Linked DNA regions of Xenopus tropicalis. The protein of the gene in region 2 purifies or fractionates together with the protein of the main gene of each other region. This does not show direct contact. Links are inferred from orthologs where the notes say so. Each region holds a gene or a part of one and is shown on either strand. Other genes may lie near its edges.

The links.
Region 1: the proteins of ppp1r9b (region 2) and ppp1cb purify together in Homo sapiens (affinity purification with mass spectrometry; 4 studies listed by BioGRID and IntAct, with this or other methods). This does not show direct contact. The link is inferred for Xenopus tropicalis from reciprocal best matches to the Homo sapiens genes PPP1R9B and PPP1CB.
Region 3: the proteins of ppp1r9b (region 2) and wdr48 purify together in Homo sapiens (affinity purification with mass spectrometry; 3 studies listed by BioGRID and IntAct, with this or other methods). This does not show direct contact. The link is inferred for Xenopus tropicalis from reciprocal best matches to the Homo sapiens genes PPP1R9B and WDR48.

Annotation. Positions count from the first base shown.
Region 1 is NC_030681.2:5,955,144-5,958,798, reverse strand, and holds part of ppp1cb (serine/threonine-protein phosphatase PP1-beta catalytic subunit), read right to left. Parts: intron 1,960-3,655; coding exon 1,828-1,959; intron 1-1,827. UniProt on the Homo sapiens protein: Protein phosphatase that associates with over 200 regulatory proteins to form highly specific holoenzymes which dephosphorylate hundreds of biological targets.
Region 2 is NC_030686.2:18,319,685-18,323,339, reverse strand, and holds part of ppp1r9b (neurabin-2), read right to left. Parts: coding exon 3,551-3,655; intron 2,475-3,550; coding exon 2,354-2,474; intron 1,889-2,353; coding exon 1,784-1,888; intron 1,354-1,783; coding exon 1,218-1,353; intron 594-1,217; coding exon 438-593; intron 352-437; coding exon 298-351; intron 65-297; coding exon 1-64. UniProt on the Homo sapiens protein: Seems to act as a scaffold protein in multiple signaling pathways. Modulates excitatory synaptic transmission and dendritic spine morphology. Binds to actin filaments (F-actin) and shows cross-linking activity. Binds along the sides of the F-actin.
Region 3 is NC_030682.2:13,425,898-13,429,552, forward strand, and holds part of wdr48 (WD repeat-containing protein 48), read right to left. Parts: coding exon 3,556-3,655; intron 3,391-3,555; coding exon 3,166-3,390; intron 2,821-3,165; coding exon 2,746-2,820; intron 1,867-2,745; coding exon 1,764-1,866; intron 1,664-1,763; coding exon 1,566-1,663; intron 737-1,565; coding exon 629-736; intron 208-628; coding exon 111-207; intron 1-110. UniProt on the Homo sapiens protein: Regulator of deubiquitinating complexes, which acts as a strong activator of USP1, USP12 and USP46. Enhances the USP1-mediated deubiquitination of FANCD2; USP1 being almost inactive by itself.

The DNA.
Region 1 (3,655 bases), on a different chromosome or scaffold from region 2:
AAAGTCAGACGCAGAGAACAGGAAGGATGGACACTACTTTCAATTGCAGCCTTACCTGCATCCAAATTATCTTTAAGAACTGGAATAATTGCAATGTGAATGGAGCAGAATTCCTTGTGGGACGACAGACGGGGCTTTGTACATGCTCGGTGCTGAGCAGATAAACGAGCCGCCCTCTGAGAGCCCTAGGTGGCTGCTGACACACGGCCAAATAAAACACCCGCTGCTTCTTACTGTATCGAGGCCTGTGTGTGAGCAGAGCCGGCAGAACAGGGGACACTCACATACACAGAGGCAAAATATACATATCATTCAGCTTCTCCTCAAGCACAAACAACGCCGGCAGTCAGGCAGATATTGCCCAATACTCTCCTACTAAGGGTAAAACGGATTGTGTCATAACAGCTGAAAAACAGGTGCGGCCTAATGTGGGTGCCAGCAACACCCACATACAGTCTGTATACCTATACCCTAATTCCTGTATGTTTGCAGTGATAAATAAATACTGTAGGTTGTCCGGTCTAGGTAAAAGGATAGCTGATCATCATGTGTCAGCGGCACTGCACATGCTCAGTTTGGAGGAGGTGCTTACTGGGCATGCTTGGCGATGATCAAGACACAAAGTAAATATCCAAATGGTGGAGGTCAAACAGACCATGGGGGGGGGCAGAGATGGAAAAAGCATGATTCATAGGTCATAGAAGGGGTGGGGCTTGCGAGAGAGTAGGAAAAGTTTTGTTATAATTAGGCTGGTTGGATCAAGGGTGTGGCCATGTGTGCAAGGGGGTCCAGGTGACCAGTGGGCTAATAACGTGGGTCCCCTGGGGGGAGGTGCCTGCTATCTTAGTATTTTAGAGCCCAAGGATTACTGATGGCAGCCCTGAGGATAAGTAGAGATTAAAGCAGATTCCAAACACTTAATATCTGCTCATTTGGCAAGGCTGACATTTGCCCACCAATACACTGGGTCAAACTGAGATGATTCAGTCAACAATCAGTTAACAGTAGCCTAGCAACACCAGCCTCACCCAGTAATATTTTCTAACTTGCCTAAGATATCTGGCTGATTTTTTAAGGAGATATTGGATGGGCAGGCTCTTGGACTGTCCCCATACACAGGCGAATAAAGGTCCCCATACACGGGCCAATTCCAGCTGCCGACATCAGTCCCTTCGAGAGATTCGGCAGCTAATCGGCCCATGTAGGGGCACCAACGACGGGCCTGCCCGACCGATATCTGGCCTGAAATCAGGCAGGTTAAAAAATCTAGTCAGACGGGGACCGCATTGGCTCGTTGATGTGGTCCCCGAACAGACTTTGCCTATGCCCGTCGTTATAATTCGATAGTTTGGCCCCAGGGCCAAACGATCAAATTAGCCTGAATTCTCCCGATATCCCCCACCTACGGGTGGGCTATATCGGGAGAAGATCCACTCCACAAGCAAGTGGATCTGAAGGTGTATGGGCACCTTAAGCCTTAACCTTAAAGGAACAGTAACGCCAAAAAATAAAAGTGTATAAAAGTAACAATATAATATACTGTTGCCCTGCACTGGTACAACTGGTGTGTTTGCTTTAGAAACATTACTATAGTTTAGTAAACAAAGCTGCTGTGTAGCCATGGGGGCAGCCATTCAAAGGAGAAAATGCACAGAATACATAGCAGATAACCGATAAAACACCATTATATTGTACAGAGCTTATTGGTTACCTGCTATGTAACCTGTGCCAATATCTTACTCTGCAGTACAGTTAATTCCAGAAGCAACATTTCTCAAATTTAATGACATTCTCCCTTGAGTCCAGGTTAAGTCAGTCCAAACTTACCACAGATCTTCAGCGGAGCTTCCAACTCCAACAGGATTGGCTGACTGAGGAAGATCTCCCGGGACTTTATACAGAGCCCTCGCACTTCTGCCTCTGTCATCTGCACAATCTTCCCTGGGCGGCATCCTCGTACTGCAGGGGAAAAAAAAAAAAATATCTGAGGTTACACTTGGGGCCCAAAAAACAGCAAGACAATAAAACTGCATCTTTTCATAGAGAAAAGTAGGCTACAGCCATCCAGCAAAGTATAAATAGGGAGAATATAGTCTGCGGGTTCAGTCTTTAGCTTCATTTCATATCCGTAATACTGCTTGGTCTGTCATCTGCTTCCCAATTTGAACTTGGCAGCTCCAGGTTGGTCTGTCAACTCCCAATCATAATCAGCTTAGAAGGAATTCGGCAATTATACCCCCGAGCGTTACCTGTGGGGCTTCTGCCAAAAAGGAACACTTCCAGTCAAGACTGACTGGATAACAGGGATACTTGCAGTTTGGCATTAATAAAAGTACTATATGTAATACTAAGCCAACTTGAATGTAATTTAGGTACATGTACCTCCAGTCATAACAAACCCTGCTTATTCAGACAATGCATTAGGCAGCCATTAAGGGCACAAAGATCAAAGGCTGAACTGAGAATGCACTGCTGTACCGACAAAGGAACCCACCGTGTTGCTATTAACTATACAGAGCTGTGTTCCAAAATGTATTTCAAGAGAGCGGCCATCAAAAAGCAGCAATAATTAATGGGAACCACTCAGAAAATCAGCTTTGAAGATAAACAATCGGGCTCTGAGGTTGGCTGGCTCTGTGTATAACCAAAGGGGCAGGAGTTTGGATATTGCGGACATTTTGCAGCACCCTTAAAATAGTGCACCCCAATTTCAAACATACGTACAAAGAAATACGTAAATGACATCAAATACAGCGGCACTAAAGTCTCCCTTATATTATATTATAACTAGAAACAGCTGTACATTTGGGCTCTGCAGCAGTGCCAGAAGGATGCCAGGCTGACTCCCGTTACCCATGCCCACTACATACCAACAGCTCAGTTAAAGGAACAGTAATACCAAAAAATTAAAGTGTATAAAAGTTATTACAATATAATGTACTGCTACTCTGCACCGGTACAACTGGTGTGTTTGCTACAGAAACCCTACTATAGTTTATATAAATACCCTGCTGTGTAGCCCCGGGGGCAGCCATTCCTGCACTGGTACATCTGGGGTGTTTGCTACAGAAACCCTACTATAGTTTATATAAATACCCCGCTGTGTAGCCCCGGGGGCAGCCGTTCCTGCACTGGTACAGCTGGGGTGTTTGCTACAGAAACCCTACTATAGTTTATATAAATACCCCGCTGTGTAGCCCTGGGGGCAGCCATTCCTGCACTGGTACATCTGGGGTGTTTGCTACAGAAACCCTACTATAGTTTATATAAATACCCCGCTGTGTAGCCCTGGGGGCAGCCATTCCTGCACCGGTACAGCTGGGGTGTTTGCTACAGAAACCCTACTATAGTTTATATAAATACCCCGCTGTGTAGCCCTGGGGGCAGCCATTCCTGCACTGGTACATCTGGGGTGTTTGCTACAGAAACCCTACTATAGTTTATATAAATACCCCGCTGTGTAGCCCCGGGGGCAGCCATTCCTGCACTGGTACATCTGGGGTGTTTGCTACAGAAACCCTACTATAGTTTATATAAATACCCCGCTGTGTAGCCCCGGGGGCAGTCATTCCTGCACTGGTACAGCTGGGGTGTTTGCTACAGAAACCCCCGGGGCTACACAGCGGGGTATTTATATAAACTATAGTAGGGTTTC
Region 2 (3,655 bases):
CACTTTGCTGCAACTGAGCCTTCTCCATCCTCCAACGAGAACGTTCCTGTTCAAGACCTGCCAGCTACAAGAAGAAAGTTGACAATAAGACAATGAGCAATCTGGGTTGGCAGGGTGGTTAGAGAACTTAAAAATGGGCCAGGGACCAGTTAGATCTAGGCGACTATGTGCTGGTTAATGTTGGAGACACTGGTTGAAATGGAATATTAAATAATGTGTGGCATTGAGTAGAAAGTTGGAACATGGAAGATGCTGGTAGAAATGAGACAATATTGTCCATGGACATACAATCCTTACCTTTCTTTTAAGTTGTTTAATTTCAGCCTCAGTCACTGCGTGTTTGATCTGCAACTGTGGAAGAGAACAAAAATGATTTGATATCTAGACTGGAGATCCATCTACTTAATGGCCTTTTTTTGGAAACTTGAGACAATTACCTCTTTAAATTTGTGCACTAGCTTCTCAGGGTCCATCTCCACTGGGGACAGGGCATCTTCTCCTTCAGGAAGTTCAAACACTTCAATAGCCAGTTCCCCACCTGGGAACATAGGGCTCATCTCTTCATCTTCTTCATCTGTTGCATACTCCCCTGTCTAAAATATTATGAATAAAACCTTTACCAATTAAGAAAAAAAATCAACACTAGCATAAAATCTTCAGCACCACCTCAACCGAGCAGACAATAACTCTTACTACAAAAAGGGAAACTTCCACCACAGAAGCCCCATCAGCTGCTTTTCAGATGAGTAGTACCAGACAGCACATATACAAATAAGCTAAGCTTAAGATACCTTTTTGGCTAGAGCTTACCCTCATCATATGAATGCATTTATTAGTCTGGATGAGGATGAGTGTTGGTCATTGAAGAAAAACAAAAAAACAAAGCAGGCTTTGCTTAAAATAATATTGCAATCTATCTTCAAGATCCTTATACTGTATTACTTGTTTCTTCCTTCTGTATTTAGTTCCATAACACCTTTGCCTATGGTTAATTCATTTTTGAAATAATCCCACCAGTGATATACAGACGTTTTTAGTATTGTTTAATCTTATTACTTCCAACCCAGGCATTGCCCTGTTTTTTGGTGCTTCCATTAAGCTTGATGGTGTTCCATATACATGGATATCTCAGTTGTGCTATTTTAATGTCAATGTAAGGGTCCATAGGTTTGTAAGTTCCACTCACTGTTCACTGCCTTATATTTTACCCCACTCACCTCTTCATCATCCTCATTGCACTGATTATATCGCTGCTCCATATTCTCCCTCTGCCACCTTTCTTGTTCCAAAGTCTGTTGAATCAGCTGGGCCACCTCACTCTGTTCTCCAGGCTTTTCCCGACCAATTAAAAACCTAATTTAATCATACAATTATGAACATGACTTGTGGCTTGTGGTGTAAAAATTCCTTAGCCTCTTACAGACAGGGTAGTTCTTATTTTGAATTAAACCCAAGATATTAAGTTATGAACTCATGGTAGGACCAGACTATTCCATTGCGTAGTAACCATATGTTCCTGTACATTTAACAACAACTAAAGAGCCACAGACTGAAATAGTACTAATAATACCAAACATATTATTTAGCCATGGCCAAGAGGTCCACCCTTAAGTTAGATTCTTAGGCTAATACTCCTCTTTTGCACTGCCATAATCAAAAAAATATGGCAACCTAGATGGCTAAAGCTATATAGTATTTAGTTACAGAGGCTGTTATTTCAGATTTACACTATGGGCACAATAATATGGTTATTAAATACTATAACAAAATTGTTAAACCTCACCTTACATGTCCCTTTGTGTTCCTCAAGACAGACGCGGCAAAAGATTGGGTGACACCCACTAAACTTGTCCCATCGACTTCCACTAAAAGATCATTTACTTGGATCCTGGAGGATAAAATATATCTCTCAGAGAAGTAAAGATGCTATAAATAAAGGTATTATGTATTGGCAAACAAATAGCCTAGTAGTGGAATACTAAGATGCCAGTTATCTGTGGGTATTCACTAAATCTAGAAAAGAAGTTCAAGTAGTCAAACTCCATTCTATGCTATTGGGTGTTAGAGCTCAGTGGAAGTGTCCATCTGATTTGTTAATTCCCCCAAAATTAACAAGCACTGTTTTGACATTAATGCAGTGCAAGTTAGTTGGGGGAGACCTGATGATAATCATAGTATAGTAAAAATCAAATTTCTTGTAAGATGGACATTGTTAAGTAAATGACAGCTGATCACCATTATTTTAGAATGGATAGGAGGCTTTATAAATATGCCCAAAACATTATTTTCTTAAGTTATAACAGATTCATGCATTTTTTAATGTAATTAGTAATAACATAATTGAGCACTGTACCTTCCATCTCTGTGGGCAGCTCCACCCTCTGTCACCGTCTTGACAAATATTCCCAACTTCTCCAGTCCCATGTCAGCTCCGGCTCCCATCCCAATAATACTGATTCCCAGTCCCTCAGAGTCTACAGAGATGCACAGTGATTGGTTATCATCAGGAACAGCATAGTTCAATAAATATGGGGTATAATTTAAGATGAACACATGATTTAGTACATGGCGTACATGGTATGTAGGGGTTACATTTGGCTCCCTTGTCCAACCGAAACAATATGGATATGAAGTGAGGCTGATATAGGTTTTATGTTATGATGAGTTATAATTACAAAAACAAGTAGGTAGGTTAAATGGTTCCCAATGAAATTGACCGTTGCCTGTTTCATAAGTGTTATAGAGACTTTAGATTGTAAGCTTCGCTGGTGCAGGGACTGGTCTGCGCGTCTTGGTACAATATAATCAAAGGTTAATAATAATAAGAATGCCTTTTACAGAGAAGATGAGAGAGTGACTTAATATTCTAGGAACTGAGTCTGTAGGGAATATGTGGGATATGAAAGAAAACAGACCCAGAGAACGTAATGTTTATATAATGTAGGTCAGATATGTATTTAAATAGTTTGGTAGATATGAAACAGACTCTGTGTGTTCGTTAAATGCCTTAAACGGAAACTGTCATTGTCGTAAATAAAAACACACCAAATGCCCAAATATAAATGTAACTGCCATTGAAAGCAGTGTCTGACTCTTTATATTCTTTGCACTTCTGGTTCTAGCTCCTGAAGCAATGTAGCAGCAGCCAGCTGAGTAACAAACCTGGAAAACTGACTGTTGCTTATTTAAGCAGATAACACATTTGATCTACTTCCTTTCATCAAAGCAGCGTTTCCTATGTAAAACAGTAACATCATACTCAGCAAGTACAGCAAACGTGCAAGCAGCTTGGTAGGGTAATGCTCACAGTGCTTTTCAATAGTCACTTTTCCAGACCAACCAATGGGTCATGGTGTGTCTGCCCTGTGCTCTATGCCAGGTTAAGGAGAAATGGAACAAACAGTTTTGAATAGTAGGGAAGTGCAATGAGAGATATAGGGCCAGATTTCCAACAAATATAAAACCTAACCAAAGGTGCTGGTGAATACAATATCTAAATGTAGATGCAATATGCTTTTTGATTGAAACCTATTCTAGTACTTTGCTTTACCTTTCTCTAACTCCACGGGGAACAGGTCCAGCCTTTCCACCCGCTTCTCCAGCTCATACTCAGCTGAGGCCGCCATTGGGTCCACATCCTCGTTACGCCTGTCGT
Region 3 (3,655 bases), on a different chromosome or scaffold from region 2:
TCAGAGCAAAACTATCACAGGAATAAAAACACAGAAATCTGCAATACAACATACTTTTCTGGAGAATATTTTTTAAACGGACAAGCAAACAATTTGTGCTTGGATCTCACATTTTGGGTCAGATCCATCCGGACTGCTGAATCCAGCATCCTTCGCAGAAACCCACGCGGCAAAGCAGTCACTCTCATCTAGTGTTATCGTCAGCATCTGGCAAGTAGAACAGCAAAGCTTACCTAGAGCAGACTCACCCCCAGAAACAGAAGTGCTGAATATAAGCATCAAGCCCTCTCCTACCATGCCAATGTTAATATGTTCAGTCAATGCACTGCCTCATATGGCCTGGGTGGGCGCCATAAACACATAACTAAAACGGGCATAACTATGTCTTTGCACAGGCAATGTAAATTGTATAAGTGCTCTATAGTTCCAATTAAGGCATCATTTACTGGCAAGGCTAATAGATAAAAAAAACACAAAATATAGGATTGTGTGTATTTCGGATTTTAAGAATAAACCTTACACACACTCAGGGTGCAATACTGGAATGAGCTGCCCTGCCCACTGGGGATCAGAACACATTTACTGAAATATGAAAAGAATAAACAGACCCAAAAAAATATTTACTTACTCCAGTCTTTAGATCGACTGAGAACCAGTTTGGTACATAAACCATCTTAAACCTTTTCTTTATTTCTTCTTCAAAATCGACTTTTCCCAGATCCTCGACTTTGCAAGCCTGCAAACAAAAGCAGCAACTTTAATTGATCCTCTTTTTTCACTGATACCGGCAGCCCTTGAGCTATTGTTCTGCGAGGCTAAAATTATTAATTTGTTATTGTTTATTGTCATTTTTTTATGACTTATTTATCTTATCAGGCCCTCTCCTATTCATATTCTAGTCTTTCATTCAAAACCCTGCCTGGTTACTAGGGCTAGAGATACCTGCTGTAATTCCGAGCTCAATAAATAAATAAAAAACACAAATGAAAAATGAAGACGGATTGAAAATTGTCTCAGAATATCACTCTTTACATTATTCTAAAAGTTAATTAAAAAGGTAAACAACCCTTTTTATGTAACAGTTTGATTGGATGCTGGGAAGGCAAGAACAGACCATGACCTTTATCTCGAGCATCACACATATAGTGTTGTATGGCTTTGGCCATCATGTCTGTTATACTAGATCTAATCACACAGGCTGAAGAGCTCTCTACACCTTACACCTACACCTGGTACCCGGACTATTCCCCATCTGCCACCACCAGCAACTGCCATAGGGTGTTTCCAAATCAAGTCTGAAATAGTCACATAGAGGCAAGGCTTTTAAGCATAAAATGTATTCACACGTGCTTGTCATGACCTGTGGAAAGCTTTTAAATAAAGAACTTTCATGGTGCTAGAGATCACCAAGAATGGACAAATGCAAGGTGCTATTAAAGGTTACAATGGGAGTAACCAAGGAGCATGGGAACAGACTGTGTGCTGAAGCAATTGTCTTATCAATTTAAACTGCAAGGGACCAGAAACAATTACCTACAACACCACAGTGTAAGACTGTATCTTACCTTTAAAACATCCCAGTATGCCACATTGTTATTAGTGTCTTTGGTTAATATGTGCCTTTTATCATTGAGAATATTGCACTGGATGATGCTAGCGCCCCCTAGGAAGAGAATACATTAAAGTCTTAGCAAGTGACACTGTCAGTGTTACACAAGCAACACAAAAATAATGTATCATAGAAATAATTCCAGCGCCGTTACCTTTAATGACCTGGTCGGGCTGAGAGCAAATAGGACTGAGTGGAGTGCTGCAGTCATTCTCATAATCTCCGGAAGATCTGAAGTTCAGGATACCTTTGATAGGCTAAAACAAAACTATGTCAGGATTAACTGTTGTGCGTTTAGAACTGCATTTAAGGGCTCTAGCACACGGGGAGATTAGGCCCGCGACACATCTCCCTGTTTGCGGGAGACTAATCTCCCCGAATTCCCATCCCACCGGCGACAATGTAAGTCGCCGGTGGGATGGCACACGCTGCGCAGGCGATTTCGGCAAATCGCCGAAGTTGCCTCGCGAGGCATTTTCGGCGATCTGCTGAAATCTCGCCGCCGTGTGTGCCATCCCACCGGCGACTTACATTGTCGCAGGTGGGATGGCAATTCGGGGAGATTAGTCGCCCGCGAACAGCAAGATTTGTTGCGGGTGACTAATCTCCCCGTGTGCCAGAGCCCTAAAGGGCTGATGTCTACCCTAAAAAACTGTAAGCAACTTCCAAAATACATTATTATCCATTAAAAATGTTCATTTGCTTCAAAGCTGTTGTTTAAAGGAGCTATTAATAATTATATAGTCTGCACTAATAGTTCTGACTCATGAAACAAAGTAGCACAAGCCACCTAGTTAGATAAAGAGGTCTCGGGGAGGGTTCTGAAACAGAAAGATGTTGTCAGCTATCTGTCTAAGAGGCTTCTGTTTGTTTCAAGAGTCCGAACCAAAGAAAAGAAAGGAATAAACTGGTTTCAATGACATTTACAAAACCCACTTTAACACCATTTTAAAGGTTTATAGAATGAATAAAGGAAAGTTGCTTAGAATTGCATTTTATGTTGGGTGAAGTTACCCTTTAATCACTAATGCAGGAAGAGGAAACAAAATGATTCATGTCAGTTTTGTTTTCTTTATACTAGAAGATTAAATGCAAAACCGCTAAAACCGCTCTTATTGTTCGGAAACAATTCTTACCCATTTATTTACAGAGGATTTAGTTGTTGCGACCCAAAGCGCCAAGGGAGGGTCTGCTGACCTATCCAGCTCCATCTGTAGAACAATAAACAATCAGACTTTTACAATCACCGGTGTTTAGAAACAGAATCGGATTTAAATACACCTCACAGTGATTCCTACTTAGAGGGCTGGGCCTTACCTGTAAGTTTTAGGTTACAAATATAAAATTAACTCTTAGCTGCTTCACCTGCTACTGATTCAGGCACGTAAAGCTGATGACAGACAGTTGCATAATAAAGGGGATTTAATGGAGATTCTAGCTCTCAGTTTCAATGTATGTGTGTGATTGTAATCCAGAATGGTTAGAGATAGAATGCTAGGTATTTTCATTCAGCGCTAGATAAACAAGTAAAATTACCGATCACCAAGCAAACATACCTTTAGAACTGGTGCTTTTTCTTCACATATAAGCAAGCGAATATCAGGATTCCGTAGGTCTGTACAATAGATCTTCCGGTCTCTCCCTCCTGAATAGACATGTGTGAAACCTTCATTGACCTGGAGAGCCCAAACCCCTTCATCATGGACACGGTAAGTGGCTATACACCTTTGCTGACCCAGAGACCACAGTCGGATTGTTCCATCAGAGCTGCCTGAGAGACACTGAACAAGTCGTGGGAATTAACACATAAAACTCGATTGTTTCCTTGAACAAGCTTCTGCATTTAACAGTGTTCTGTCCTTTTTTTATTGCATTTTTTTTGTTGTTTGCAATTTTTGAGTAATTTTTTATGTTTAGCAGATGGCCTTGGACAAGACTGCAATTACCTGTGTCCCATCTCTGTTTAACAGCAGAGCCTTCACATTGTCTGTGTGTCCCTTCAGCTTCATCAGCTTTTGACAAGTCCGCGGATCCCAGACCCTTAAG